Linked DNA regions of Arabidopsis thaliana. The protein of the gene in region 1 interacts with the protein of each later gene in a biochemical or structural test. Each region holds a gene or a part of one and is shown on either strand. Other genes may lie near its edges. The genes, in order: SNL1 and TBP1.

Region 1 (17,358 bases):
AGTATAAGCAAATTAATCAAGACAAGCTGAACTTGAAGATATAAAGACTTGAGCCTCTCACCTCAGCTCTTGGCTTTCCACCATTGTACTTCAACATTAGGTTTAATAGTTTTTCCTCTGTAACTTTTAGTTTCACTTTCTGCTTGGGAGTTCTATCGCCACTGACATGTAAAACAAAGTTGAACACTTCTCAGATCCTGACTAAACAGAGAGAAGGATAGGAAGAACAGGTGATTATATGCTACAACATACTGTCGAACAACAGCAATGACACAACGTAGCTCTTCTGACTGCCCAAAAGTGCCGATGATGCCACTTCCCTGGCGAGTTAGACCTTCATTAGATTGTACAGGTTCATTGACCTTCCATGGCAAGGTGGGAGGAAGAGTGGATGAGAGATGAGGAGCTTTTGCATCCAAACACATTTTCCTTAGCACACACGCAGCATCGTCATAATACCTTACAGTGCAAGAGATTTGTGAATACTTTAAAATTGAAACTCAACTTTTAGAGAGTTAAGAAAGAGGCGAAACATGCCAGTCTAAAAACCATCTCAGCATTTATTCTAGAAACTTAACCTATAAATACAACTATGATTTTAAGAAAGAAAATAAAAATGCAGATGCTAGCTTACTTGTATGAGTTCTTCACAAAACTCCATCCATTGACATCACAAACATATGAACAGCCCTCAGATCGTAGAAGATCAAACCCACAGACCTGGAAATGTGAAAAATGTTGAAGAAATTACTACGTCATTGCACGAAATCAGAACGTACCATTATAAGGGATTACGGCCCTGCAAGACATAATGAGAGCCGGAGGATTGGATTCACAACATACCGCTTGCCTAAATGCAATGCAAACTTCTCTAGCCATTTGCTTTTCAGCAGGTGTAAGCAATACTGGATATCTCACCTGTTCAATATATTAACCAAAAATAAAATACTGATCAAAATCAAAACATTAACAGTTTAAACCTTCATGAAAACATAAGCAACTCATGCTTTTCATTATAATCAGTAGATACTGAAACCATAGCCCTTCCTTCATTAAAAACTAGGTATGTTAGGTTCCCTAAATGGAACTGTTGGGAAATGATTGAAAGACTTACTTCCTTCCCATCTGTATTCCTCATAACAACACCATCAACAACAGGTGACTTTCTTGCTTCAGCATGTGCGTATTCAGGACCCACTGTATAGACCTGTGTTTACCAGGAAGATTGTCAGTTGAGAACTCATGCTCACCAGACAGAAACAAGCAGCAATAAAAGCTACATCAGCAGGTGGAAAGCCATGCAGCATGTATATACTGTAATATATAGGCCAGTAGAAAAACATAGGATATTAACATAGCAACCTACTACGTTGAGGACACTTGATACCAACAACTGTACAATAATATTCTCAAACGCCTATGTTGTCCAAAAGATGGGAATGGTAATGGTTTTATCGAAAAATGTGTAGAAGGGAAACAATCAGAACCTTGACATCAGTTCCTCCGGTGGCCATAAACTCCTCGTATATATAAGAGCCTTCTCTCCTTACCCTTCTGACGTCAGGATGAAATTCACTTGATCGGTTCCCAATCTGTAGTAAGATGGGGACAAGCGAAATATATTAGGAAGAAAAGGAGCTAATCAGAATTATGACAATATCAGAATAACCAGTTCGATCCAGAACAGAGAAGTTCTGCAGAAGGATGCAGTACCTTGCGAAACAATTCTTTCATGCCTCCACCTGCCGAGCTAGGGTAGTATATCATTATACTATGGTCATCTCCTAAACACGTATAAAGAATGTCAATAGTTAGCCAATAATAATTTTAAAAAAAAAAACTGCAAATCAGAAGATAAATAAAACAAGGAGGATAGCCAGAGGCAAGCTCACCATTGACAGGCTTTTCCACAAATGGCTTCCAGAAGCGTTCACCATGGACCTCAACAAAATCTTCTTCCTCGACAAAATAATGAAGGTCTTGATTTGGTACCTTTCTATTGACACAAGCATACCTAGGAACTGGGATGCCATACATCTCAAGATGCTGTAGATGCACATAAGTAGTTATTTTGATTAGTAAAAGGAAAAATTAGGTAGTTCTTATTTTTCGTTAACGCTGAATCACTCTGAAGAATTTGCACAGAAACAGCTATCTTGCAGTCTAAAATGCTTACCTCATACACCTTCCGGCGATCATGAAGAAGATATTGCGGATCAAGTTCATTCACTAAAAATGGCCTGAATAACACAAGTTTGAAAAATCACACCTCAATAGCCAAACTCATTTAATTTTCACCAAAAAGACTAATGTAAGATAGGCTGTTTATTGAGCCAACAGTGAGAGATAAAAGGTAAAACTCACTTTCTTAAAGCAGCATATGCCTGAGCCTTCTCAAGAGGATATCCAGAGGAATGAAAAGCAATCAAGCAATCACAAATGGGCCAACTGAAAGAGTAAACAGTCTGGTAAAGTTTTGATTCCAGTATATACTTTGTACTTGATATATATTCAGCTACAGTTTGTCTAAATACACTAACAACGAATCTTTCATAACATGAGTTAAAGCCAAAAGAGAGCTCTATTTGGTACAGAATACCTTTCTATTGGATCTTCAAGTATAACTTTATCCCCAAAATGTAAGATCTGTGGATAAAGTTGCAACAAAAGTGTAAATGAGATCATAAATAAAAGAGGAAATGGAATACACCAGGGAATCTACAACGACAAAAAGTGTCAACAACTCTTCTTTAGCAGACTAATGCAAAAAGTTACTCAGAAGCATCTTCCAATAACATTTGCCCAAGAATCACAAAAATACAGGTTATTCCATCAAAAAAAAACAATCTCTCTCCAATGAAAATAAAAACAACTATAAGAATACAAACCAGAGAGTATCAAATTGATCATCAAGTGAGAAAGGAACCTCAAATTCACCAAAAGACTGGAGTCTGTCGAGAATTTCCCCCATGGGAGCTGAGAAAACCTATAAAGCAACAACAACAAGGAATGTATGAGCGAGAACACACGTAGTAAAAAAAAGACAAACCGGTCATCATGGAGCCGTGTAATCGGAATCTGTTGGTCAGTAGAAAAACGCGAAAGACGAGCAACAAACAAACAAAAAAAAGGGAAAACAGAACCTCGGAGCCGCATTTCACCTTCTTTTCCATGACGCAGACTCCAATCTTTATCTTCTCACCAACACCACTTGCTCCTTCTTCCATCTCCATTCTCTCGGCCTTTCTCGCTCTCAACCTACTTTTAACGACGTCGCAGTGTTCTTCTCTCTAAAGTCACAGATTCAAAAAATCAAAACCAGATAAACAAAAATAATTCACCAATATAGACTAAATCTCGTCAGTTCCCAACGATGATGATATGATCAGCTCTATGGAGGAAACCAAACAAATCAGCTCACAGAGAGAACAGTAGAAGATCTCCCAGAGAAGAAGAAGGAGAAGACGAGGAGAGACTTACCAGTAAACAGGTGATCGCAGCTCACAAGGCAGAGCAATAGCGATAATGCTTTGCTTGAGAGGGGGAGAAAAAAAAAATCCGAAAGAACGGGGAAAGAAAATATCTAAAAGCTGCGGTGAAGCTCACGGGGCCAGACAGAGGACAATTCAGTCGTCACAGGCCGTTTGCATTAAATAGTATATTATTAGGAGAAAACTATAAAAATGCTAATTTCTAGTCAGCATCCTTGGACCGAAATTGGACCCACACTTGACGTTAAATACACTATCATGGTCGAGCAAATATAATTATAATAATAATGATCAAAACTTTATTATTGATATATGAACTAAAATATCACATGGTCCATTGTGTGTGTCGTCCATCAATGTTACATAAATAGATATAATGTCCCTATAAGGTTTTCCTATGTATATTTTGGTTAAGACAAATTAATATGTAACAAAAAAAAAAAGTGGAAGGATAAGATCTAGTAGTAGGATTCTAGAATATGCAGTAATTAAGAGAAAGAAAAAATATATGTCATTTAGCTTTTTGGTTGCTTTACAACTTTTCTTATTCCCAAAAAGTTATGTTTTTGCATAATAGAGTTAAAAAGGTTCCACCCAAAAACATATTATGTGTCATTTTCAGATTGTCTGACTTTATTTTGTGTATTAAACAAAATTATAAGATTCTACTACCAACTAGTTCGTTAGGTGTGATTTCTATTTGAATTCTAGGTAACATACAGTATTTTCATTCCAAGATTTTTAAAAGAAAAATGTTAAACGAATAGATCATTATGTTGTATATACAACTATACATGTACTTATCAACTATCATATATTGGAATATGAAGAATAAATTAGCTTCACAATGACTTCTTTCTTCGTACACAAATAACAAAATAATCTTTTTTTTCTTCTTCCCAAGTTGGTTATAATTTGATAATATATTATTGACAATCACTTGTCAATCTCTGCGAAAAAAAAAAAATCAAAAAATCAAAAACACAATTAGAGGCTGTATTAAAATAGTTAAACTTGGGATGAATAAAAGTTTGTGCTGACGTGACGAATAATGAGACTTTCAAGAAAACTATGTGTCGGATTTTTCATTAGAGTTCCGACCAAAAGAAATCGGAAAAACAACAACTCTGGACTCCCAATGTCTCGAATATACCTAAAGTTTTAATTGGAAATCGAAATCCTCAATTGAAAAAAATTAGGAATGCATAAACAATATTTTGATTATAGATAATGGTAACAATGAAGAAGGAGGTAAGTTTAGTACCGCAAGAAGAAGGAAAGACGATGATGTGCATAGTTGCGTTGTTAGGAGGAAGATGCAATTGAAGAGGACAAAGCTTTTCGTTCAAAGGATTTCTACACCAAATCATAACATCTTCCATCTCTGTTTCTTCCTCAAGCTTCTTCTTTAGTTCTATCAACTCGCTTCCATGGAATATCAATGATTTTTCTCCTATTTCCTTATTTATGTTCCCACTATCATCTCCGGTCTCGTAATATATTAGCCTTCCTTCGGACTTGAGTGGTAAACTCACAATAAACGAATCATCTGACTGATCATGTATCGATGAATGTTTAGTACTAGTATTTTCAGAAGAATGGTATTGGCACGTATGTGTAGTGTATATAGTAGTAGTACCTCAATCCGTGAAAAAGTGGAAGAACTGTGGGTAGACTCTGCATCATCTTTGATAACTCGAATCTGAAGAACGTCAACAGTCCACATGACCCAATCTTGTGTGACCGTACGACTAGGAATATCGTGTGTGATAGAGTTTCTCCACGGTGGTACACCTTTGTTTGCCCTCAGATATTGTCCGTAGCGACTCTTGAACCGTACGTGTACACCATCGTCTGATAGCGGCTCCCACTCCGCAGATGAATCCAACTTTTCGGGTAGAGTTTGAAGTACCTTGTGAATATGAAACACACACGGCTTGTTTAGCAAGAAACATTTCCACGTTTAAAAAAATTCTGTTTATGCGTTTTTGTTTGCGCTATAGTCATAAGAATGGGTTTTCTCGTTGTTAAACATTTGAAATATCTCTTGGGCAAGATTTACTTTGTCAAAGTGTTTATAAATGTTATCAATGGATTTGGATGCCTTGTTTTTCAAGAAATTTATTGAAAAAGAATCCTAATTTTGATTTGAGATGGTTTCTTGTAACCCAATCTCCCCTAGATAAACCTACCTTTTCGCCGGTGGCTCCAAGGAGGAAATGAATATTAGTGGCGGTAAGGTATTTGCCGTAACAGCTTTGAAGACGGATCACATTGGATCCAGGTACGATCTCAACCGTCCATCTAGTGTTTTTTGTTGTGCCGCGACGATCTTGATGAACGGATTCTTGATCTTCATCGGCACTTAGGTATTTGTCGTTGTGGCTACGGAGACGTACAATCGTTGCCTTTCTAAATATCTCCATCCGAGAACAATAATGATCTCTTTCTAAAAAATTAAGAATTAGGAGACAAAAGGGGATGGATCTATAAGTTATTCTTCATTATCGTGATGCAACGTAGGCTAATATGGTTTGTTGACCTGAGTCTTGTTTTTTAATTCGCTTGATTTGAGTCTTTTATCGTTAATGGTTTGTTATATGTTTGATCCATGTCAAAAGTTTGTTGAACCGTGGGATTAGGATTGTTCAGATTATAAGACCAGATTTCTAAATAGTATGACAACTCCGAAGACCAGATTCTGAACCTCTTCCATTAATTGAACTATTTGGTTAAATAAATCAAACTGTTCTATTTGTTTCTATGATTCCATCTCTGTAAACGGTCAATGTATATGTGTGAGTCTTTTATAATTCGAATCTTCTGCTCAGATATATGAATTTATTCTCATAGATTACAAGAATCTCTGAAGTCTGACATGTGAATTTCTCATAAAATCATCACCGCAGAAGAAGAAATTATCCAAAACGAAATTTGAAGGAAAATACTAAAAAATCGAAAGAAAAGAAGAGAGATCAGAGTTTGGTTAAGAATTTTTTCGGTCACGGTTAATCTGAAACACGGACCAATTTGTTGATCATCATATCTCTCGTTTCAAACAAAACAATCAAAACAGAAGAAAATCAAATCGAAAAAGATCTAGTTGAAAACGATTAAGATCATCAGAGACTTAAATACTAATAATCACAAAGATTACTCCATCATATTGTTGCAGTATTACCTCATCACCTGATCTCAATTTTGCATTATCTATACGGACCAATACATCATAACTCGAAAACCAAAGATCTAAAGAAAACTAAACTGAAGATAAAATACGAACTTGAACAGAGAACCCTAAACTGACTTGATAAGAGCTTGATGTCTGTCAAAGTCATGTGTGGTTTGTATATAAAGGTCCCCAATGGCGGCGATTCTTAGGTTTCTCGAGGAAAACCCTAACGCTTATGGGTCGTATATGAGCTTCATAAGGCCCATTATAATAAACCTCTTTTGACCCATAAAAACCCCAAACCAATACTCAATTAGCTTATATGGATGGGCTTGACTGAAAATTTACAACTTCTCATTTTTGGTTTGATTCAAGAAAAAACAAAATATTAATTTTAAAAAAAAATATGTACTTGGAACAAAATAATTTGTAAGAAAATCTACATCTATTTAAGGCTTGAAGTCATTGGATCCTATTTTAATGGAAGACAAGATCAAAATTTATATCCTTTTTTTGGGGAGTAGATATAAACTTTTAAGCTTAATTTAGCATGTTTTGTAGTAAATCCAAAACTGGATAAAATCTAATTTCAAACTCAACTAATTCTGTTCATTTTATCTTTAAACAAGTTCAAACACTTGAAACAATAGCTTCATACATACGCAAAAGAAACAAACACACAACAAAATTGATAGAATAAAATAAGTTTGGTATTAAAGAAGATATAATCGTAACAAGATTCAAAACTTAAGTAATGACATCGCTACAAAGATCAGCTGTTTCGTTCCGACGTCAAGGTTCTTCGGGTCGTATTTGGAGTGATCAATTCATCTTAGATCAAAAAAATGGAGCAATTCTTCAAAATCATCTAGAACAAACCGGAAGAAATAGTAATGATCTTGAAGATAAAAATCCATCACAGAAATCAAGTTCTTCGTCATCTTCTTCATCACCACCTCCATACTTTTCTGAAATACGTAGAGGACCAGACATCTCATCTTCTACACGAAACAAACTCGCTTGTGGTTTATCATCACTTTTCCGACAATGTATCGGTTCTTCGGCTCGTGCTTAATTTTGTTCAATGCTTGACGCAAATCTGTACATATATTTTCTTGTTATATGAAAAATTCATCACAATTTTTTCCGACCAAACAGAGTTCTTGATAAATGGGCCTATTATTTTAAAAAGCCCAATAGATATTTGAGTGTCCGGCCCAAATTGAAGTAGAATAAAAGATAAGTTACCAATTTACCAGTAGTTAGCAGCAAACACACAGAGAAAGTGAAACATCGAAGAGACCCCAGAATGCAAAATCTCTCTCCGCCTTTTTCTCCTTCCTTATTCGAAAATTCTCAGCGTCTTTGTTGCAAACTCCTCTGAAATTCTCCGTCTTCTTCATTCGTTTTCGACTCTGCGTTCTACTACTTCTCGTCTCCTATCAGTATCATCGCAATTCATATTCAGTCTAGTGTGTTAAACCGGAGAATTTGGAGTCTCGCCGGAATTTTCCTCTGTCTATGTATGATTGCCGGTGATCAAAGCGCTTCTTAACGATTCTGTTCTCCTTTGAGAGATCTGAGTATCTGATTTCATCTACTACATATGTTTTCTCGAGAGTGATAGAAAGTAGGTCTCATACATATTTTTCCTCTGGAGGGAATTTTGATCCTCTGCTTCGTTAATTAACTTGTGATGAAGCGGATAAGAGATGATGTATATGCCTCTGGGTCTCAATTTAGACGTCCTCTTGGTTCTTCTCGAGGCCAATTGTGAGTTTCTCTAAATTCACCCTTCAAATTTCGGTTTTGATCTTGGTTCTGTTTTGTGGCGATTAGGTTTTCTATAATTCTGCATGGAGAGTGACAAATATTTGTTATGAATTGAGTAGTTTTAAGTAATCGATTAGAGATGATTTGGTGCAGATGTGGACAATCTCCGGTCCACGGCAGTGGTGACACCGAAGAAGAAGAAGAAGGAGGGAGCCGGAGAGTCTCTCAGAAATTGACAACCAATGATGCGTTGTCGTACCTGAGGGAAGTAAAAGAGATGTTTCAAGATCAACGCGAGAAATATGACAGGTTCCTCGAGGTTATGAAAGATTTTAAGGCTCAAAGGTTAGCTCTTTCACTCTCTATCGACTTCAAAGTTCAAGTAAGTTTTAGTAGGCGGCATTGTATTAATTCTTCGTCTTGCATTTTCAGAACCGACACAGGCGGTGTGATCGCAAGAGTTAAGGAATTGTTTAAGGGACATAATAATTTGATTTATGGATTCAACACCTTTTTGCCTAAGGGATATGAAATTACGCTTATTGAGGAAGACGACGCTCTGCCAAAGAAGACTGTTGAATTCGAACAAGCCATCAATTTTGTGAATAAAATTAAGGTGCTGTCGAAATCTTGGTCTTATATTTCTCTTTTGAAGTGCGCTTACATCTTGTGTCTCAATGTACAAGTTTCTTTTTTCTCACTGCAGATGCGATTCAAGCACGATGAACATGTCTATAAATCTTTCTTGGAAATCTTGAATATGTACCGAAAGGAGAACAAGGAAATTAAAGAGGTGTACAACGAGGTAATATACTTCATCTCACCTGTAATGCCACTCCAAACTTTTTCTAACCTTCGAATATCTATGCTCCAGGTATCTATTCTTTTTCAAGGCCACTTGGATTTGCTTGAACAGTTTACTAGGTTTTTGCCAGCGTCTTTGCCATCTCATTCAGCAGCGCAGCATAGCCGGAGTCAGGCTCAACAGTACAGCGACCGAGGATCAGACCCTCCTCTACTTCATCAAATGCAAGTGGAAAAGGTTCGTTTGATCTTTGTTTCATATTTTTCCTTGTTCTATTTTTTGCCACGTATCTCAATTTTGTTCCCGCTACAACTTTTTATCACCAGGAACGCCGACGAGAAAGGGCTGTTGCTCTCCGCGGTGATTATAGTGTTGAACGTTATGACCTTAATGATGATAAAACGATGGTGAAGATTCAAAGAGAGCAGCGGAAGCGCCTTGATAAGGAGAACAGGGCAAGGAGAGGCCGTGATTTGGACGATAGAGAAGCAGGTCAAGATAACCTACACCATTTTCCAGAGAAAAGAAAGTCGTCCAGAAGAGCTGAAGCTCTTGAAGCATATTCTGGTTCTGCTTCACATTCTGAGAAAGACAATTTGAAAAGTAAGCTAACTCCTGTGTCAAACATTTTTTTATTTGCTTGGTACCTTTTCTATTTTTTAAGAGTCCCAAACATTGGACACCTTAATTCTTTCTCTTTGAGAGAGAATTTATTTTCCAATTTTGGTTGCATGGTGATCTTTAAGGTGCGAAGATCTGCTTCTGTTTTCTAAGATGTTTACTTTGTGTTAGGTATGTACAAACAAGCATTCGTTTTCTGTGAGAAAGTCAAGGATAGACTATGCAGCCAAGATGATTATCAGACATTCTTGAAGTGCCTCAATATTTTTAGCAATGGAATAATCCAAAGGAAGGATCTGCAAAACTTGGTATTGCAATTTGTGATCAGGGGTTGATCTTGTGGTAACGTTCAGGAAGTTGTATTAAATCCCATTCATTTTCTTTCAGGTTTCTGATCTTCTTGGGAAATTTCCTGATCTGATGGATGAGTTCAACCAGTTCTTCGAGCGGTGTGAGAGTATTACTGGTACTGAAATACGTATTGTTATTTTAATAGTTATTACATATCAGCAATCTTCTTCTTTCTGACGGTCATCCTCTTTTTGTAGATGGATTTCAGCGTCTTGCTGGTGTTATGAGCAAAAGTATGCTGCTATTTTAAACTTCCCAGCTGTGAATAATATTGTCTCTTTCCCTCCTACTTTGTAAAATCTTTACTGACATTGCTGGTACACTTGGCAGAATTATTTAGCAGCGAAGAACAGTTATCCAGGCCAATGAAGGTGGAAGAGAAAGAAAGTGAACACAAGCCTGAACTCGAGGCTGTGAAGGAAACTGAGCAATGCAAGAAGGAGTACATGGGAAAATCTATTCAAGAGCTCGATCTCTCTGATTGCGAGTGTTGCACTCCTAGCTACCGGCTTCTGCCTGCGGATGTAAGCTTCTATTTCCAAGTTGCATTTTGAGCATGTTCATTGGATTTTTACTTACTGTAATATTATATTTGCAGTATCCGATACCAATTGCGAGTCAGAGATCGGAGCTAGGAGCTGAGGTTTTAAATGATCATTGGGTATCTGTCACTTCCGGAAGTGAAGATTATTCTTTTAAGCACATGCGCAGAAACCAATATGAAGAGAGCTTGTTCAGATGCGAAGATGATAGGTATTTATATTGACAACATACATATTATAGTTTGAAGTAATTGGTCATTTATGTTAATTACTGCTTATAACAGATTTGAGTTGGACATGTTGCTGGAATCTGTGAGCTCTGCGGCCAGAAGTGCAGAAAGTTTGTTGAACATCATCACAGAGAAGAAAATAAGTTTTTCTGGCTCCTTCAGGATCGAAGACCATTTTACGGGTCTGTATGCTTTTTTGGGACCATTTTACAGTTCGTAGTTATATCTTCTCTCTTCCCCTATTTAGGTGTCCTCATATGTTTGGTTATTAACTTTACCATTTTCTTATTGACATATTTACAGCCCTAAATTTAAGGTGTATTGAGCGACTTTATGGCGACCATGGTCTTGACGTGATAGACATATTAAATAAGAATCCAGCCACTGCACTTCCTGTAATCCTAACTCGTTTAAAGCAGAAACAAGGTGAATGGAAGAAATGCCGTGACGATTTTGATAAGGTCTGGGCGAACGTATATGCAAAAAACCATTACAAGTCACTTGATCACCGCAGCTTCTACTTCAAGCAACAAGATTCAAAGAACTTGAGTGCAAAATGTAAGTAGACTTATAGAAGTCGTAAGAAGATTTATATTCAAGTAGTTCCTTTATCCTGTTTTATCGCTCACATACATCCGGCAGTGCTATTTTTCCTTTCACTTATTCCTTTCTCATTCTGTTTTTTTATTGCTTCGTGAACCAGCATTGTTGGCTGAAATTAAGGAGCTGAAAGAGAAGTCTCAGAATGATGATGATGTTCTGTTGTCTATTTCTGCTGGTTACAGACAACCTATAAATCCTAATCTTGAATATGAGTATTTGAACAGAGCTATTCATGAAGACATGTTCAAAGTAGTCCAGTTTTCATGTGAGGAGTTATGTTCTACAAAAGAACAGCTCAGTAAAGTTCTGAGGCTTTGGGAAAATTTCCTGGAGGCAGTGCTGGGTGTTCCTCCCAGGGCCAAGGGCACAGATCTTGTTGAAGATGTTGTAATAAACCCCAAGACTCTCGATGTGAATCACAGCACATCTCCTAACGGGGAGGCTGCTGTGAGTTCTGGAGGAGACACAGCAAGGTTGGCTTCTAGGAAACTTAAATCTGCTGCCAATGGAGATGAGAATTCTTCATCTGGGACATTCAAACATGGGATAGGTTTGTTAAATAAAGATTCGACAGGGAAAGAAAATCTTGAAGATGTTGAAATAGCTAACAGAGATGGTGTTGCCTGCTCTGCTGTGAAACCTCAGAAAGAACAAGAAACTGGAAATGAAGCCGAGAAAAGGTTTGGAAAACCTATCCCAATGGATATTAGCGAAAGAGCAGCCATCTCGAGTATATCAATCCCAAGTGGGGCAGAAAACAATCATTGTGTAGTAGGCAAGGAAGTTTTGCCAGGTGCCTTCCAGATTTAAGCTATTTAATTTTATTTGTGCTGCTTGATTATTTGTGTTGATATTTGTTACTTTACAATTAAGGTGCACATGAGATTCAAGCCAAACCAAGCGACACCCTCACTGATATTCATCATGATGTAGATAGCATTGAAACTGTTCATTCGACTCAGGTACTAGTACTACAATCAATTGCTCGTTGTACCATATTTACACCATTCAGTTGCTCGTTGTACCATATTTATATATTCGCCTAAACCCACTATTACCTGGAGGTTTCCATAGCTTAGGGATGTAAAAATTTACAGTACTACCTATGGGACCCAGGGGTGTAAAAATTTAAAATGTGTCTTATATTATAATTATGCTTTCCGGACCCTTCTGACTCTGTCATATTACTAGGGAGGTGATGTTGGCAATTCGATAGTTTTGGCAAATGGATTAAGGTCAGATTCTTCTAAAGGTACTAGGAATTCTGATGATCCCGAAGGTCCCTCCAGAAATGAGAAAGAGGAAGGTGAACTGTCACCTAATGGTGATTTTGAAGACAACTTTGGTGTTTACAAAGATCATGGGGTGAAGTCCACATCCAAACCAGAGAATTCAGCAGAGGCTGAAGTAGAGGCAGATGCTGAAGTAGAGAATGAGGACGATGCTGACGATGTTGATAGTGAAAATGCTTCCGAGGCATCTGGAACTGAATCTGGTGGCGACGTATGTTCTCAGGACGAAGATAGAGAGGAGGAGAATGGTGAGCATGATGAGATCGATGGTAAAGCTGAGAGTGAAGGAGAAGCGGAGGGAATGGATCCACATCTCTTAGAAGGAGAAAGTGAGCTGCTTCCACAGTCAGAACGTGTTCTCTTATCCGTCAGACCCCTTTCAAAGCATGTCGCAGCAGTTTTATGCGATGAGAGAACAAAAGATCTCCAAGTTTTCTATGGGAATGACGACTTTTATGTTCTTTTTAGGCTTCACCAAGTGAGTTACCTAATTATTTATTGAAATTGATTCTCTCTAGCAAAGATAACGTGGTGCATTTTCAGATCCTGTACGAGAGAATTTTGTATGCAAAAAGGAATTGCTCAGGCGGTGAACTGAAATCGAAAAACTTAAAGGATACCAATGCCGGAGATCCTTATGCGAGGTACCTTCCTTTGTACAACTTTTTATACTAGCCTATGTAGATAATCATATACATGTTGTTCCCATCAAAATCTGATCTGTGTGTTGTACAGGTTTATGAGGGTTTTGTATGGTTTGCTAGATGGATCAGCTGAAAATACCAAGTTTGAGGATGAGTGCAGAGCTATAATTGGAAACCAATCATATGTGTTATTCACGTTGGACAAACTGATTTACAGATTGGTTAAGCAGGTGTTACTCACACTAGTGGTTTAGGACAATTTTTTTTATGTTATCGACATTATGTTACCTTCCTTGTGATGTTCTAATATTATCCATCTGCAGCTTCAAGCTATTGTAGCCGATGAAATGGACAACAAGCTGCTTCAGTTGTATGAGTATGAGAAATCCCGGAAACCAGGAAGGGTTATCGACTCAGTGTATTATGAAAATGTTAGGGTCCTCGTTCACGAGGAAAATATTTACCGGTTGGAATGTGTATGAACCCTTGTGACTCTCTTATCTCCCGCGGTCTTCATACATCAATGTGGTGACTCATGATCAATTTGAACTTAATTGCCCTTTTTAATTGATATGCAGTCATCCTTGCCTTCACGTTTATCTATCCAGCTTATGGATAACATAATCGAGAAGCCAGAAGCATATGCAGTTTCTATGGATCCCACATTTGCAAGTTATATGCAAACTGAGTTGCTTTCCGTCTCATCAGGAAAGAAAGAGGAGGGACATGACATTGTATTACAAAGGTATATATCTTATATAATCATCTGTCTCTTTAAGGTTTTCGCATAAACCTCTAGGTTCATGGAAATGGTAGATTCTATCTCTTTTGAAACGCTTGCAGGTTATATATAGGTTTATTATTTCTTTTTCTCTTCTACTGGAACTGGTCCAGGATACTGCAACGATATTGCATAATTAAATAAATTCCCTTTTGGCAGGAACCTCACCGGGTTGTATGATCTCTGTAAAGCTATGGAAGGTGTCGAAGTAGTAAATGGCTTGGAATGCAAGATGTCTTGCTCTTCTTACAAGGTAAACCGATCTTCCGTCCCAAAGATCTTGAACCAAGCAACTCAATTATACCCATTTCAACCTGTTCATCTTTCTTTATGCAAAAGCTTCTCTGTACTCAATTTCTTGTTCATGAATCAGTCAACATATATACTCATCTCTTGTAGATCGCGTACGTATTGGACACAGAGGATTACTTCCACAGGAAGAAGAAGAAAAAGAAGACTGAACAGTTATGGCAACGTAACAAGGTGAGAGTAGAAAGGTTCCATAGGTTTCTCTCAGCTTAAAGATGACCACAACAAAGTTTCCTCTTGGGTTTTCTTCTTTCCTTCAAACCAACAACACACAAGAAAAAGGTAAAACTGACAAAGTCGCACAAGTAAAGTTCTCTGCAACAATTCCCAACTTTGGTCTTCAAGTTTCTTACTATGCTGATTATAAGATGAGATATAGAGAGATGCACAAAGGAACAAAACCATAAGAAGAACAATGGTGGTTTAGAGTTACTGTGTGTATCTTTAGGTTTCAAGTGCCAAGTCTGTTAGTGTTACATGTAGTGTGTGTCTGTGCTCTTTAGGAGAATGTTGTTGTAAATATGGGAAAGCACTTGAAGATGCCTTGGTTAATAGATAGATAGGCCCAAAAGAAAAATTATTATTATATGCTTCAAATTTCAAGATTATGAAATCAACTAAATTTTTTATTGGTGACTAAGCGGTAACAACAACATTTTTGTTTTGGTGAATTAAGAACAAGAAAACAATGAGACATACAGAGACAGAGAAATCATATTTCGTGTTAATTAAGTTTACGAAAATGACTAAACCTAACCCTAATTAGGTTTCATCTTTCCTAAAGAGTAAAAGACCAAAGAATATGTGTTGAAAACCCCTGCATCCAGTATATGGATGTTTCATACGTTCAACAATGATGATTTTTTTATCATCTCATAATCGATGGAATAATACTACTTAGTTGTTTTCAACGCATTGAAACACTCCTTAGTGAGGCCGTCGTGATTTGTCTTTAAGACAAGACTTCAAACAAACGGGATGCCTATGAAACATTCAACGAGACATAAATGATTGTTTGCGATTTGTGAAATGTTAAGATTCATTTTTGCTTACGGACTAACTAACCAGTGGATGCTTAGGCGCGGTTAGTTTTCAACGTATTTAAAATTTACCAGTTTTCCATAAATGAGTATATGTAACTTCCAAATCTTGTATACGTGGCCTTTCTTTACTCACTCTCTTCTTATAGAAGGAAATCCTTAGAATACATTCCACGCAGAAGCAATCTCACGTCAATTCTGTACAACTACACAAACTCTATAAACCATACATCTTCCGTCTTCTGTTGTAAAAAAAAAGCAGAAAATGAAATCAAAGCAAATCAAAATGATGTTCTTTTTATTAATTGTAGTTTCAGCTTTGATTTTGCGACCGTCCAAAGCTCAGATAAAAACGAGCATATGTTCAAGAACACAGACAAGGCCGATAGATAACGTGGATGGATGTTTCGATGCGGTGAGATTAGCTGCGGATGTAGATATCAAATGGCTATCAAGAGACTGTTGCAAAGCAGTGAAAACACTTGATGATTGCCTTTTGCTTGTATTTCCCAACAGAGCTTACAATACTAATCTCTTCAAAGAAATTTGTTTCGAAATTTTCAATAACTTAATTTTATGATTTCTCTGTATTTTATAATGATATAATCAACGAATCAAATTTATTTTTTTAATTCTGATACGAAAATATTAACATTTCACAAATCGCAAACAATCCTATTATATATCTATACATGTCTCGTTCTTTGTTTCATGCTCCTCCGTTTGTTTGAAGTCTTATCACTAAAGAATGCTTCAATGCTTTGTAAACAACCTAGTATTTAGAGATTCCATCGATTATGAGATAACAAATAATCCATATTGTTGAATGTATGAACATCCATATCGGATGCACGGGTAATCAACATTATTCTTTGGTCAAAGTGAAACCTAATTAGGGTAAGGTTTAGTAGTGATTTTCTTTCAGTTGTTATTTCCAACTTAACTAATCCGAAATATGATCTCGCTGTCTCTAATTATTTTGTTGGTCTTAAGTCACCAAAAATGTTGTTACTGCTTATCTCGACCTTAATATTGAACATATATGACCCCTCAAAGATTATCTCTTTTTAACAAAAATAAATAAAAAAGTCCATTGGTCAAACTAATTCAAGCATATAAAATTACTTTTCCATAAATAAGTATTTGCTTGGGTCAAAACTTGTATATTTAATTAATTACGTCTTTCTTTCTTTACTCCATCTTCTTATAGAAGGATATCCTGAGAAAAAAACCCACAAAAAAAAAAGGCATCACGTCATTTCTCTACAACTACACAAACTCTATAAACCATCTATACATTTTTCGTCTTCTATTGTAAAACAAAAACAGATAAAATGAAAACAAAGCAAATCAAAATGATGTTCTTCGTACTAATAGTAGTTTCAGCTTTGATTTTCCGACCATCCGAAGCTCAGATGAAGATCCAATCGTGGATATGTTCAAGTGAACAGATAGCACCGATAGTAAACGTGAGTGGATGTTTCGATGCGTTGAAATTAGCGTTAGGGTCGGAGAAATTTGTCAGATTGCTATCAAAAGACTGTTGCAATGCAGTGAATATACTTCCTCACTGCCTTTTGATTGTATCTCCCGGCGTAGAGTACAATACTATTGTATTGAGAGACTTATGTTCTCAGTAGTTTTCAATGAAACAAATATCATGTAATGAAAAAATACAAATATTTTGAATTTTTTTTTAAGTTT
Region 2 (15,491 bases), on another chromosome or scaffold:
ATTAATTTACACTAGACGACTGTTCCATGCTTCTTCTATGCAGACTTCCCTCCAAACACCCTTATAAAACTGGATCTGAAAGATTCTCTAACTCCTCTCCAGTACGTATAGTTTGACCCATATAACCACAGATTCACTGCTTTTTTCCAACCATCTCTCGGGAACTCAATTTCTCTACCAATCCTGGACTCCTCCCAATCTTCTTCAGTGTCCTCCAAAAGCGGGAGCGCTTCAAAACCACCAGACTCCAGGTGCTTGATCCACCCGCGCATCAGATAGTTCACCACCTGCTCGTTTTCATATCCCAAATGGTGGGTTCATTATACCTAATTGCAGAGTTTGAAGAATTTATTGACTAGTTCATTATACCTCAGGGACTTCATCGTGTGGGCAGTGACCCGCTGGGCTGATCTCGTAGTATGGAGCGTTGGGGATTTCCTTCTTTATCTTCTTTCCCCATAACGGTCTCACCCATGGATCTTCTCTTCCATACATGAGACATATCTGAACATTGTTTTCCTTACACCTAGCATAAACCATCAAATAGCAGCATTCCTCATAAGCAATAACACCAATCACGCAGAGTAAAAAACATATAAAAACAAGAAACCACACTGTCTTATACCTAGATAAAGCTTCGGAGAAAGATAGCTCTCCACCAGGAGCAAGCATGATTGAAGCAAACGATGCTGCAGCAGCCGGATGCTGTGTGACCTCCACAATACGTGAGAATACTTTATCCACATTGATAGAATGGTCTGTGTAGACCTGTTTAAGTATCTCAGCTATGCTTTCAGGATCACTTATCTTTTGCCACCTGCAGTTTCATTGGGAAGTAAAGATATTAGACTGATAGAGATAGAAATAGAAAATGATACTTTTCAGGTGAGGAGATGTGTTAATAAAGTCTCCCTTACACCAATTCTGTGATTTTTTTCACTCTTTCCGGCAGAGGGAATGCTCCGGGCCATGGAAAGAGACGTGCTAGCTTTGGGGATCTTACTGGATTAGGGAAGAAACCCCAGAAAGGTGTTGCATTAAGCAAGGTAACACCCTTAACCAGGTGAGGATGGGTTGCTGCAAAGTAGAGAGCTACATACCCTCCAAGTGAGTTCCCTGCAATGTACACAGGCTCACCGATAACCTGTACAACACAAATACCACATACTCTTACCGACTCAGCAGCTTATTTCAGATGAAAAAGATCGTGATCTCAAACTAGAACACAAACGGAATCAAAGAACAGAGATGAATTCTAATATCTAGTGCATCCTAAACTTTCCCATTCCCAAAGCAACACCAGAAGACTCCATACCCACACTTTCAGGTTCTGAGCTGAAAACTATTGAAATCCATGAGTATACGACACATAGCAACAATCTACACTAAAAAAAAAAAGCTAACACACTGCTTTTGAAATTACGACTAAAAGAACAAAATCAACAGCTTAAAGAGTAATAGAACAACTGAACTCAGATATTGCTAACCTCTTCTACAAAATACTGAACTTGATCCCTCCAGAGATCCAGAGAGAATACAAGTTGATCAGCCCACGGTTCAGTTTTGTCACCAAATCCCCAAAATGGTTCCTTATCTTCCGAGGAACTGGTTTCTTCAGTCATGGTAGTAGGATCTTCAGTAGGGAGAGATAAACCCTGTCCAAGAAAATCAATAGCCCATACTCGATAATCCCTTCCCAAATCGGTAAGCTGCTTCTCATAGTGAAATGAACCAACGCCAAAGCCAGGAAGAAACAACACCGCAGGAGCATCGAGATTGTCACAACCGGCTTTCTCATAATGTACTCTAAGCTTGGGCTTCCACTCGCAGTGAGAATGACTGATTCGAGCAGCAATTTCACCATTTGATTCATCAGGCAAACCAGGAATCAAAACCTTTGACGTTGATTCTCCTCTTCTGGCTATACGACCCAAGTCATCATTCTCACCAACAACATAACCATCGGAATTTCCACTTCGAATCACAAGTCTGGATTTTTTGACCCCTGAGAATAACAAACTTGACCGATTTGGGACCAATCTTTTCGTTGCTAATTTACTACTCCAAGTAACCACAGAGCACTGGGGCACAACGTTCAGTGAGATTATCTCCATAACAAGTTCCTGCAAATGAACAACCAAAAGGCATATCCTTTAATACGAATTTTCCACTCATATATCTCAACTTCATAGCAAAGCTAAGAATAACAAGGAAAATCACATATGAAGCTGGAATCTTTGTATAGTTATCAGAATTTTGCTTCAAAAGCTGAAACCACATACAAAAAGTTGATGAACTTGCGGTAATCTTCTATGAACTCGTCTTATCAAATCCTAATCAAAACAAAGCAAATCAAGGTCAAGCCAATCTTCTATCAAATTGAAACCAAACAACAACAACACCACCCGATTCATCGACAAAGAACTCCAGCTATATAATAAACCCAGGAAGAAAAGAAAGAAAAGAGAGAGTTGCAACTTGTACCTTTTCAAATTCCAGAAGCGAGAAGCTTCATCAAATGGTCTCTCTGAGAGCGTTATTGAGAAATTAAGCGAGGAAAAATCTAAAGGTGAAGAAGAAATAGAAGAATTGGGTTGCTTGCTGGCTTGGTTAACTTCAATCGTTCGGTGCAAACCGACAGCAACGTTTTTATCGAGTTTTTATTTTTTCTTAAAGGATCCAAAATTCATACTGTATTATTAAGTGTAGGGTTATTTTTTTCACAATATGACATTTTGTTTTGGATCTGACATTGCTAATTTGACACCGATGTAACATTGCAAAAACACATGTTTGTTGCAAAAATATGACAGAATAATATTTTTTTTAAAAACAATTGATTTTTGATCTTCTTTTCCATTGTGTAACAATCGGAAAACAAAAAAAACAATCGAAAAACCTGCAGTTTTCATATCAAACAATATAAAACCCGTTTAATTTTTGAATGGTTTAATCACTATTTTAACGGTGTTATTTGAGTTTTCTAGTTGATTTTAAATGTTAGAGAATTGATCTTGTGTGAACTAAAAATCCTAATGGTCGAAGACTAGAAAGCGAAATACACTACTCTTCAATTAGAATACAGACAACTATCTCTAAACCGAGCGTAGAATCAATAGCAATAAACCGACCGTAGAAACTGGTTTCGCTGTAACCATAACCTTTCTTAATAAGACAACCGCGTTTTACCAGTAAACGACTTTTCCTCGCAATTTAATCCCACTTTTGTTATTTTTTCAAATTCGTTTTTCCTCGAAGGAGCATCGAGTAAATATATCATTAAAGAGCCTTTAATAACTTAGACATAATAATTATATCTTTAAAAAAAAAACAGAAAAATTCTTTGCTTTGCAACAAAGGCAGACAGACAAAAGGCTAATTCGGAGCTCTCCTCCACATCTTCTTCCAAAACACAAACAAACCCCCAAATTTCCAGAAAAATCAGATCATTCTTTCATCAATCTCGTCTTCTTTAATCTTAGGTGAGAATTCATCAGCTCAAAAACGCAGCACCCGATCGTTTTACGACTCAAATCAGAGAAGCTGATTCTTTTCCAATCATTCCAATTTCCATTTCTTCCTTGGGAGGTGATCGACGATTATTCAATTTATGTTTTTCAATTTCTCTTTCTGTATTCGTCAATTTGCTTGAATTTGATCCTAGGGTTTTGATTTTGTTGACTATTTTAGGTTTTACACCAAATTAGCCGTCGAAAGGGGTGCTTCTTTGATCTAATTTCGATGGCGGGATTAGAGAAAAACGCTGATTTCTCAGGGAAGACGACGAAATCGGCTACAACGACGTCGTTCTTCAACAGGTCGCTTACAATTCACGGAAGAACAGTGGTGGATTCGGGCCCCAAATCCCACAATCTCAATCCTTCTCTCAATCGTACCACCTCCATTACCAAATTCTACACCCCCGTAGAATCGATGGGAACTTCTCTTAAAGGCAAAGTCAAAAACCTTTGTAGATTATTCGAGACTTCCAAACCCGTTAAACCTGCCTTAGCTGAGATTCCTCAGAAGCAGAAATCCGGTAAATCCCTTTTACCCGAATCGCGGATATCGCCTTTTTCGAGCTTAAACAACTCGGTCATCCGTCTTCCCGGGACAGAGGACAGGATTGTGGTGTATTTTACTAGCTTGAGAGGGATTAGACGGACGTATGAGGATTGCTATGCTGTCAGAATGATATTTAGAGGGTTTCGGGTTTGGATCGATGAGCGCGACGTCTCCATGGATATCGCTTATAGGAAAGAGTTGCAGATTGCAATGGGAGAGAAGTCTGTGTCTTTGCCTCAAGTTTTCATTATGGGCAAGTATGTTGGTGGTGCTGATGTGATCAAGAGTTTGTTTGAGATTGGTGAGCTTGCTAAGATTCTTAAAGAGTTTCCAATGAGACAACCAGGGTTTGTTTGCCATTGCTGTGGGGACATTCGATTTGTTCCGTGTTCCAATTGTAGTGGCAGCAAGAAACTGTTTGATGAGGATGAAGATAGGGTCAAGAGATGTCCTGAATGCAATGAGAATGGATTGATACGTTGTCCTGATTGCTCTTCTTGAGATATATCATCAATGAACCTGAAAAAACCATTAAAAAAAAGAAGAAAAAAGAGGTATTTATTTCTCTTTTGATGTTTCCATTGTTGTGTAGAACAGTGAATGATGCTGCCACAAGTATCCGAAAATCTCTTTTGGATCAGCAGCATTTCACTTTGGGTTTTTTAAGGTTTGCGATCAACGGTAATGGGAATGCCGGTGATCGTGGATTTAGTTTATGTATGTGTTTGCTACTAAGGGCTAAATGTAATTGTGTAATCAAAATGTCTGAAACGGGTAGTAAGCATTTTGACTCTTGTGTGTCAATGTTGTGAAAGACAACTGTGTTCTTATGCTATATATTTGATTGTAAATATTTCGTGTGTTTATGGGCATCTTGTTGATTACGACAGTAATTGGGTGGTTCTACTCGCTTGATCGTCTTTTTATGACAACTTGGTTAGAAGTTTTCTACCGACATAATCCTCCATCGTTCTTGTTCGCTAACTCTCAAGTATGATCAAGGGCTCTCAGAACCAATTTATTGGTTGAGCGTAATTGAATGTTGGTGGTTAAAACATAACATATAAGACAATCATGTATCATTGACAATATTCTAATCTTGATTCCGCAAACATTCATGATTATATCGGTGACAAGTCCATAAGAAAAGGGTCATACTTCATTTTCGCATTTGATAAACTTTTGTTTCCGGCAAAATTACTTATTAGGTGAACTCAACATTTAACCTCTATTTCCGGCAAAATCATTACCTTAAAAGAAACTAATTCATTACTCATTCCAACGGACCAACTAGTCCTTTTGGCTTAGGTTGGAGCCAATCCGATAAGTTTGGAGAAATGACAAAATCAGACGTGGTAAAAGTGAACACTTGCATCACTAGTTACTTGATTTGTTTGAAGAGAGGTGTGACCTATAAGGAAACTATCCAACTCTTTCTAAAATGTCAAAGAGAGTTCTGAGGCTTTCTTAAGAAAATGCATCTATCCTACCTACGTTATTAGGTCCAAGAATAAATATTTGCAATCAGAAGCAAATTTCAATCTTGAAAAGCCCAAGTGTATAAAACGATGAGGCAACCTATCTGAAAACTCAACGTTTAAAAAGCCCAATATTGTTTTTGCCTTATTGTCATCATTATACAGAGAAGTATATGGTTTCTTTAGCTACTTGTTTTCTTATCTTTTGGCACGAGGAAATCCTTTTTACGTTTGAGTTTGCAACTTTCCTTCTTTTATAGTTTTAGTCAGAATTGACGGTTATAGATTGTTTTTCACGCAACGTTTTTTCTTTAATTAAAAGGTTACTTGAACAGTTGAACTACTTCTTACTAGTGGTATCTTCTTCACTCACGCATCCACCCCCCACTTGGACCCACTTAATACATACCTTACTTTATTATTCCGGTTTCCGACCCATTTTCAATCATAAATTCATAATCAAAAAATTTGTCCTATATGGAAAATTTATGTTTCTATCGACCGTGCTTCAAGCAAAAACCAAAGTTTATTTTGTATGATCGTGAATCTGAGAACGGGACGGCTCGATCGACTCTACCGTGTTTTTAGTCGAAAGGGTATAGTATTGAATTATTGATAGCTTTGGATAACCATGTTGTTTTTGCAATGTGACACATTTTGCCTATGTCGTGCTCGTGCTCGTGCATGAGCATGATCGAACGACTATGTGGGTGCTATCAATTCTTAGTCAATTCTGCATAAAACATTATGATTTCATGATTTCATACATTTAGGATGGTGACAATGTACTCAACAACTACTTATGCTGGTTTTGGCCCCAAAAAAACATCGTTTTCTAGTGTTTTGGAAACTCGTTAATTCGACGACCTCGCCCAATACGGATATGTTTGACGCGGCATTCATGTCTTGTCTTAATTGGTATGCTAAATATTATTCCAACCGTTAATATAAATATTTAGAGTTATGATTTGACTAAAAACATTAATTAAAATATGTATATTTCTTTTTTTTTTTTTTTCTTTTTTTTTTTTTTTTTTTTTTTAAAATATGTATATTTCGTAATAGTATTTCAAGTGTTAGTGTGCACTAATTTAAATGATTGATTTTTCTTGTAAGAATATTTCAAACTTTGAAATTAACTCTAGAAATCTTATGTAATGAAAACAAAACGAAAGTATATAGAATCACGATGAGATTAACTGGCTAAAAAGTAATCATCTTTCATACAAATTTGCTATACATTTTTTTAATAAGGACTTCTCTTTTAATGTGTAGGAAAGATGAAATCAAAACACACCTATAGATCTATTTTCCATAACACACAAGATCTGAACACGAAAAACAATTGTTATACCAGATATATACAATAGTGTTTTTTTTTTTGGTTTGAATGATATATACATTTACATATATATAAACACATATATTAACGTATAAAATATTACAGGAAATTTGATTGGAAATGAAGTCCAAGTTGAGTAAGTTTTATTTCAACCACCTCAAGGAATATATACGGCCTTGAAGCATACGTAACCATCTCAAAGGCAGTTTCAAATCAAACGTAGATGTTAGGGTATAATGTAAGATATTGAGATTCTTGTTGGCTAACGGAATATTATATCAATATCGAAATGTTGCCAGGATATGAGAACCATGTGATGATGATATATACGTGATTGCTTTTCTTCAACTTGGTGACAGAGAAAAAAAAAAGTTTAAAGGAGAAATAAAAGAACAAAAGCTGTTCAACCCAACCGAATTAGCTTGCAAACGAGTAAAGAGCAGATCTATGCCTCATCCGCTGAAGCATAATGCATGAAATGCTAGAATCCAACTCTCTTCGGTTTTTGTGCTATTATTTAGGATATTTCTGCCTGCTACACATTCGTTGTCGATATTTGAAAAACATTGGGATCAAAAGACATCTTATATGAATAAAAATATATTTGTTAATTGTTATACATAATTTGATGTTATTTTGACATACTATGACAATACATATGTTATCGTCACCGCAATATTAATTAACTGTTTTCGTCAACAGTGTATAAATGATTCCCATAACATTATTAAACGTTGAATGGTAGGAAGAACAACTTGGTATGTTATATATATAACAGAGATCTCATATTATAAAAGTATGAAAATCATGTGTGCACATAGACTATATCACATCTACATGAAACACAAACACAAACACATGGATTTCTTCTAAACACAACGACATGGATATAAATCCAGTGTTATCGGCGTATTAAAAAAATAAGACAATGTATGAGTGTGACAATCAACCATGTGAAATCTTGTCTTTCTATAAATATACTAGTTTAGAACTTTTTGTTTTATTTTATTTATTTGTTATTTTACTATATCTTAAGATAAGCTTATGCCAACTGACTTTCAAATTAAAATGGAATATTCTCGTTTTGTTAGGTGGTTGGATCTCGTTTTATTTAAATTTTCCTATATCCGTCTTACCGAGTAATTTAACATTTTTTACAACTAAGAATATGCTCTTTTCCGTCCAATTGGGAATATGCTTAACAACACTATCATGGATGATTATCCTAAATGTACAATAAATTTACTACTTAATCTTCATTCATGTTATCATGTTAATATACTATTGAAGGATTCCATTGTAAACTATTTCATGGATGATAATCCTAAAGTGTCTTTGGCTTCCCCAGTCAATATTAAACAAATTCAACGCAAACTTTTTAATAACAGTAAATAAACTTACCCAACATTAATATTTGACCAATAAAAAGTCATAAATAAAGCTTTGAAAATATTAATGGGGAAGAATTCAATAGTTTTCGAAACATCTTAAACCTTACTCTACCTAATAACTAGACTTAAAAGCAAAGAATCGAATTAAACGAACCACCCCACTCTTCTGCTAATAGGCAAAAACAAATTCCAGGTGTAAAAGCACGTCAGCAAGAGAAAACACGTGGACCAATGATGTAAAAACGTGCACGGAACAGTAAAAGAAGGGATACCACGCGGTATCACAGCCTCATAATATTCCCTTCAAAATGGGAATATTATAATTATTATCCAATCCCGAAATTAACTCTCTTTTTTTTGGTTCTGACAATGACAAACAAAATAGGTTTCGTGTAGTAAGAGTATCCTCCACGTGTCATTAAAAACAAAAAAAATGGTTCGAAGAGTGACTGGCTCTACCCGGTAAATCCACTATCCTTGAACTGCCACATCCGGTCGCGTGGTTATTATTTATTTTATTTCCTCTACTTACAAAAAAAAAATGGTGTATTTATTTTCTTCAAATGGGGGTTTAAGCTTTTTTTCAGTTGTTTGGTTTTTTCTTTTTCAAAGGGTTTAATGTCTTCTTCTTCTTCTTCTTCGTTATTTCTATTCTAGAAGAGAGAGAGAGAGAAAGACAAGGACGATCGTTAAATCTTTTTCTCTTAAATCTTAGAATTTCAAAGTCTCTGTAATTTTTTTCTCTTTTCATTTGTATAGCACAATTGTTCTTAATCAGAGATTCGTGAGAGGTAAAGGTAGCGTAATTATTCAGTTTGCGTGATCTATAATTTAACTGGCGCCAGATTGTGATCCAGGAATCGTTGGCTTGTTAGGTGAGTTTTTTTGTTCATCACAATTCATGTTCTCAATTCTGTTTTTCTGATCCACAAACTCAATTCATGTTCTGTTTTTGGTGACAAAAAAGTATTGAATCTGAAGTCGAATAAATTATTTGGCGGTTTGTCAGAAGTTGGCAATCGAGATCTGATTATGTTTTATTGTTTGTTTCTACGTAAATTGTGAGCATTTAAGTTACATTTGTTTCATTGATCTAAGTTTTTGCGTTTCATCTATACGTTGCTTGTTTCGCTGCATTTTTGCATGTTTTTTAAAAAACAAACAAAGTGATCAAGGGTTTGGTGTTCATTGTTGATCTGAATCTGTATAGGGCTTAGTTTTATCTTCCTGATTTTTTTTTTTTTTTTGCATTTGACCTCGGATCTGTTGATCATTAGTTTAAGAATGTGTTCAAATTATACTGATTAGCTTAATTTTGTTGGAGATGATCATGACATTAAAAGTCTTTGATTTTTTTGCAGGTTGTTGTTTTGTTATGCATAATTGAGAGATGGTGGTCAAAAGGAAGTTAAATTGTGGTGGCTCTAATGGTTTTGATTTCCCCAATATTCCCAAGGCTCCTCGTTCAAGCAGGGTAAGAGATCATGGTCTTCATTTTTTTTGTTTTTTTTTTTGTATGCTTTTGTAATACGTCTCTGATGACTTTTGTTTCCCTTTTGTAGAGGAAGGTCTCAGGTAAGAGATCTGATGATGAAAGTGAGATCTGTGCAATTGATTTGCTAGCTTCTCTTGCTGGAAAGTTGTTGGAAGAAAGTGAAAGTTCCTCAACGTCTACCTATGCATCTGAAGCTGATAATCTTGATCATTTGGGTGGACTGATTAAGCAAGAACTTGAAGATGGCTATACTACTAAGCCTTGTAAATCCGAGTTTTTCGATCCAGGAAACCCTGCTTCAAAGTCTACTAGTGAAAATACTAGCGTGACTTGTTTGCCATTTTCGTCTTTCGAAAATGATTGCATTTTGGAGCAAACACCGGTTTCTGATTGTAAGAGGGCATCTGGTTTGAAGTCCCTGGTAGGGAGCATCACTGAGGAGACATGTGTTGTTAATGAGGATGCCGGATCTGAACAAGGTGCTAATACTTTCAGCTTAAAGGATCCAAGTCAATTACATTCGCAGTCTCCAGAATCGGTCCTTCTGGATGGCGATGTGAAATTAGCACCATGCACGGATCAAGTCCCTAATGATTCTTTTAAAGGATATAGGAATCATTCTAAGTTAGTTTGCAGAGATGATGACGAAAACTATTGTAAGTATTATAAATTTAGTGACAAATGTAAGTCATATAGGCCTCTCTCCCGGGTTGGCAATAGAAGAATAATGCAGTCGGTGAGAGCAATCTCCAAGTTGAAGTGTTTTGAAGACACTAGAACAGGTTAGTATCATATTACTGTGTTTCTCCTTGGTGCATTTCTTTTTAGCTGCCGCTCTGCCCTTACTTTGCTTGCGGATATATTTCTAGATGGTCGTTTGAAGGCTCTCTACCGCAAGAGAAAATTATGTTATGGTTACAACCCATGGAAGCGTGAGACCATTCATAGGAAGAGAAGATTGTCTGACAAAGGTTTGGTCGTAAATTATGATGGTGGGCTCAGTAGTGAAAGTGTTTCCAATTCACCTGAAAAGGGAGAATCAGGTACATATTAGTCTATATCTAGATGGTTTATTACCTTGGCTGATATGGTTTTGATTTCATGATTTTTTTGCTTCTTTGTTGAATGCAGAAAATGGTGATTTCTCTGCTGCAAAAATAGGTCTTCTTTCGAAAGACTCCCGTGGTATATGATCAGTTGATAATTTACTGACTTATGGAGACATGATATGTGGGTCTCATGTTATTTCATTGTTTGCAGTAAAGTTCAGCATCAAGTCCCTTAGGATTCCGGAGCTTGTAATTGAAGTTCCAGAAACAGCAACAGTAGGCTTACTGAAGGTGCGTGATTAAATGTCTTTTCCTACCGGTCTCTGTAGATGTTTTGGTTCTGCTGTGTACAATGATGAAGTGTTATTTACATAAACCTTTTTGGTTGCAGAGGACGGTGAAGGAGGCGGTTACTGCTTTACTCGGTGGTGGAATACGTATTGGGGTGTTAGTCCAAGGGAAAAAAGTTAGAGATGACAACAACACTCTATCACAGACTGGTCTTTCGTGTAGAGAAAATCTTGGCAACCTTGGCTTCACCTTAGAGCCTGGTTTGGAAACACTGCCTGTACCTCTTTGTTCTGAAACTCCTGTCCTTTCTCTGCCAACTGACTCTACAAAGTTGTCAGAAAGGTACTAACAAACGTGATCTTATATATATATATATATATATTTGTTACTGCAAGTTTTGCTTGTGTATGGATAAATTTGAAGCTCTAGAGATATACCTAAGGACAATCATTCGATCTTGCTAGGTCCGCAGCTTCTCCAGCGTTAGAGACTGGAATTCCTCTCCCTCCCCAAGATGAAGATTACTTGATTAATTTGGGAAATAGTGTGGAGAACAATGATGAATTAGTCCCACATCTGAGTGACATACCAGCTGATGAACAACCTTCATCAGATTCAAGAGCGCTGGTTCCAGTTTTGGCCTTGGAATCCGACGCTCTTGCACTTGTTCCAGTTAACGAGAAACCTAAGCGTACAGAGCTTTCACAACGCAGAACCAGGAGACCATTCTCTGTTACAGAGGTAGAAGCTCTAGTAAGCGCAGTTGAAGAAGTTGGGACTGGAAGGTAAAAAGACTGGTTTGGTTGATGAGGGTTATTAATACAATAATTTGGTTATGTGGTCAAACTAATGATAGATATTCTTATTTCACAGATGGCGTGATGTGAAGTTGCGTTCTTTTGAGAATGCAAGTCATCGAACCTATGTGGACTTGAAGGTATGAGAACACATATCAGAAACTGGTCAAACACACTTTTGAGTCTTAGCCACTACATAAATGGTTCCAATAACTTTGTGATTTGTTGCAGGACAAATGGAAAACGTTGGTTCACACAGCAAGTATATCACCACAGCAACGAAGAGGAGAACCAGTGCCTCAAGAACTGCTAGACAGAGTCTTAGGAGCACATAGGTACTGGACACAGCACCAAATGAAACAGAACGGGAAACATCAGGTGGCTACAACAATGGTGGTTGAAGCAGGTTCGTCCATGTAAAGAAGGAGAATGGTAATAACAATAACTTTCACTTGACGACTAAGGAACCAAAGTGGGCAACTGTACAAAGGGAAACAACAAAATACAGAAACATACTTAATTTCTGAAAAGAAGAGTCTATATTTTTATTTTTTTTAAATCATAGCTGGTAGAAACAAGACGTTCCTTGACACTTTTGGTTACTTTTATGGTAAGTCTGTTCATTCCAAATTTCTAATTGATTTGATTATGTAATTTGGTGGTAGGACCATGGAAAAAGGGGAAATGTAATTTTAGACAATTCTTTTATTTTTTTGTTCATCATTCCATTCAATCTAATATCTATGGACTATGGCAGTGACTGGTTTTCATCAATCTCTAAACCATTTGACAATACTTTGTCGGCCATCGTCTTTCCTTCGTTCACATTGGGTTCTAAATATTTTGGATTCTATTGAGAATGGGGTTTTGGATTAACAGGGCCCAACTACTAAAGTTGGCTTGCTGCACTTTTGCCACAATCCCTCTCAAATTATTTATTTAGCAGTAAAACACCAAATTTAATCTTGGTTACACAATATAATATTAACCAAAATAAACAAAGAAGATTCAATTCAACTAAACACCAAAACAAGAAAATCCTCGATTGATTGTCACATTAAAAAAAAAAAATGTTTCTTTATCTAAATAATTTGGATTCGAAATTTTTAGCCACTTACATAATAGAACCATCAATTCCCAACAAATTAGGTCTACTAAATAGATTACTTTCGGAAGACGACTATTGCGCGCGATTTTTCAATATCTGCATAGATTTGATCCACTTCTCCACGAGTATGATACATTTGCCCTAATGGATCATAAAAATACTGCACATTGAAAACTAAACAAATATTAAAATCTGTTATATTATAATGTACATTGAAATTAAATGATAAAAATGTGTGATATATATAAACACACACATATAGAATGAAGAATCATATATGCAGTAAAAGCTAAGAGTTGACAAAAAAGAAGAAGTAAAAACTAGGATAAAAACTAACATTTGAGTGAGCTTGAGATTTAGAGAAGAAACTATATGCATGTGCATACATTTTTCTTGACTCGGGTCTCGAAACTATACTTTAATCATACTTGCCAAATCAAACATATATTATCTTGAAAAATGAATACAATTCTCATAGAAAGAGAGATTCTATCCCAAAACATAGATTACTAATTCTTAAAACTAATGAATTTTTTGCGGTGACAATAGAAGGTGAGTCTAGTAAAAAAATCTAAATCAACATGACAAGAACAACTAAACTACTACCACTTAGTTGATAGCATGTTAATTTTCCATCAAAAGAAAATAATAGTTACCCGGTAGAGTCGGTCATAGACCTTAAGACGCTCCTCAGCGATCCAACCAGAACGAAGCCAGTTGTAACGAGGACATGTATTATCAAACACAGTAGAAGACGTATTGGGGATTTTATTCAATTGTCTTCTGCGACTCACAATCATCAACGTCTCTTTCCCTTCTCTTGACAGATTTGCAACGCTGCTCTCATAACTGATCACATCCGATGATCTCTTTTGTCGTGGACGTTTCTGTCGTCGATGTCCAGAACTACTAGATTCAGCCTCCATATCTTATCCTTGTATTATCGTCTTGTTACACTTTTATCTTAACGAATTTCAAGTCTTTGTATTTACACAAAACTTATCACCTTAAGGATACAATTGTGCCATGTGTTTTCTCATCTTCGTTGGTTTTGCACATTGTATAGAAATATATCTTAAGGAGATTACAAAATCTCCAAATACATTAATGTATTTCTTTTTTATTTTCGTTATTCTGCACTATATATAGAAAAGTATCTTAAGAAATTTACACAATGTCCATAATACATTAATGTATTTATTTCCATAAATAAAATTATGTATTTTTACACTTAATACCAAACATAAAATAAATATCAATTTAAAAAATGGTTTAATGAATTTCTCTTTAATTTGTTTTATTGAAGTTTTGTTTTTGGAAAGTTTGAGTTTTCTTTTTCTGAATTTAATTAATATTATTTAACGTTAAATTAATAAAATTTTCAAGTTGAGAAAATGGTTACATTGCTGTAAAACAAAATTAATTAGAAGATAAATCAAGTATATAGTCCAAGTTAAGTTCCAAAGGATTTCACCAATATAACATTAATTTATCATATATTATTAGATGAGTACTCACATATATGTAAAAACCTCTCTAATTATAATTTGTATTGGTTTATCTTAGGAGGGGTTATTGGTCTATTGATTTGTAAATCTATATAGAGTTTGAAAATCTCTATTAATTATGAAATCAAGATATATGAATTTTGAAATAACATGTGTTTACCCATGGATTTGAATCCTTTTATTTTTCTCTTTCAAATCCATTCAATTCCATTTAAAACATAATTTGGATTTTCAAATCAAAAAACAAATGACTAAACGAATAACAAATGATTTTAACTAGTATTTATAAATCATCGAATCAATAACACATGATTTTAATTAAAATTTTAAAATCAATGATTGAATAACAAATGATTTTTGTTTGGAATTTCAATTCCTTATAAATCTATAAACCAATAACCCCTTCTTAGTCTTGCATCCTTGAATATACCCTGTTGACATAGATGTAAACTTGTTTATTTTTTGTTTGTGTTTAAATTGAAATATCATTGTTTTTTTTTTGTCAAGGTTGAAATATCATTGTTAATATCATCTTTTGAATACTTTTCACATAGAGGTAAATAGTAAACTTGATCAACTTTCAAATTTTTATCCTCCTAATTAATAATACTTTTCACTATTATATTTTGTTCACTGTTAAGAATGAGTAAAAAATTTGCAGTTTTTGATTTAAAATAGAATTATCCTCGCTAATATTTTTTTTGACTAGTTTGCAATATTTAAAAATGTGGACATTTTAGGGTTTATAAGGTTTTGGTAAAACAACAAAAAAGGAAGCAGAAGACATCGGTTGTTGTCGGCGCCGGAGGAAATGAGTGGGGCAGGTGTACCGGACTTTTTCTACAGAGAAGCTCAACGTCTTGGCTATGTTGCTCGCTCAGCTTTCAAGGTCAATATTACATTCATACCCTCCTCAGCTTCGTCTCCTTCTTCTTACATTGACTCTTCTCTCTGTCTGTCTCTGCAA

Evidence for each region.
Region 2: the proteins of SNL1 (region 1) and TBP1 form a complex in vitro, tested with the Arabidopsis thaliana proteins (one study listed by BioGRID).

Annotation. Positions count from the first base shown.
Region 1 is NC_003074.8:98,371-115,728, forward strand, and holds SNL1 (SIN3-like 1), read left to right. Parts: upstream 1-7,923; 5' UTR 7,924-7,925; coding exon of another isoform or gene 7,926-8,066; 5' UTR 8,067-8,359; coding exon 8,360-8,436; intron 8,437-8,589; coding exon 8,590-8,781; intron 8,782-8,868; coding exon 8,869-9,052; intron 9,053-9,142; coding exon 9,143-9,241; intron 9,242-9,310; coding exon 9,311-9,478; intron 9,479-9,567; coding exon 9,568-9,844; intron 9,845-10,033; coding exon 10,034-10,170; intron 10,171-10,249; coding exon 10,250-10,328; intron 10,329-10,410; coding exon 10,411-10,446; intron 10,447-10,543; coding exon 10,544-10,737; intron 10,738-10,811; coding exon 10,812-10,966; intron 10,967-11,039; coding exon 11,040-11,167; intron 11,168-11,288; coding exon 11,289-11,543; intron 11,544-11,688; coding exon 11,689-12,381; intron 12,382-12,461; coding exon 12,462-12,550; intron 12,551-12,779; coding exon 12,780-13,358; intron 13,359-13,423; coding exon 13,424-13,524; intron 13,525-13,615; coding exon 13,616-13,754; intron 13,755-13,847; and 9 more. Other genes in the region: AT3G01310 (Phosphoglycerate mutase-like family protein), read right to left, coding at 62-161, 253-459, 635-720, 844-918, 1,115-1,207, 1,488-1,592, 1,714-1,784, 1,893-2,046 and 5 more; AT3G01311 (actin cross-linking protein, putative (DUF569)), read right to left, coding at 4,673-5,044, 5,131-5,403, 5,684-5,917; AT3G01319 (uncharacterized protein), read right to left, coding at 7,926-8,066; AT3G01322 (ECA1-like gametogenesis related family protein), read left to right, coding at 15,920-16,234; AT3G01326 (ECA1 gametogenesis related family protein), read left to right, coding at 16,989-17,294. UniProt on the Arabidopsis thaliana protein: Acts as a transcriptional repressor. A histone deacetylase (HDAC) activity is required for transcription repression. May play a role in telomere stability.
Region 2 is NC_003076.8:4,452,028-4,467,518, forward strand, and holds TBP1 (telomeric DNA binding protein 1), read left to right. Parts: upstream 1-8,812; 5' UTR 8,813-9,151; intron 9,152-9,526; exon of another isoform or gene 9,527-9,637; 5' UTR 9,638-9,666; coding exon 9,667-9,750; intron 9,751-9,838; coding exon 9,839-10,553; intron 10,554-10,640; coding exon 10,641-10,814; intron 10,815-10,902; coding exon 10,903-10,956; intron 10,957-11,031; coding exon 11,032-11,111; intron 11,112-11,211; coding exon 11,212-11,453; intron 11,454-11,575; coding exon 11,576-11,896; intron 11,897-11,984; coding exon 11,985-12,048; intron 12,049-12,139; coding exon 12,140-12,328; 3' UTR 12,329-12,710; downstream 12,711-15,491. Other genes in the region: PPH (pheophytinase), read right to left, coding at 36-287, 370-526, 626-817, 918-1,144, 1,488-2,123, 2,221-2,280; AT5G13810 (Glutaredoxin family protein), read left to right, coding at 3,742-4,566; AT5G13825 (uncharacterized protein), read right to left, coding at 13,072-13,176, 13,673-13,942; AT5G13830 (FtsJ-like methyltransferase family protein), read left to right, coding at 15,336-15,413. UniProt on the Arabidopsis thaliana protein: Binds specifically to the plant telomeric double-stranded DNA sequences 5'-TTTAGGG-3'. At least 2 repeats of telomeric sequences are required for binding. Induces DNA bending.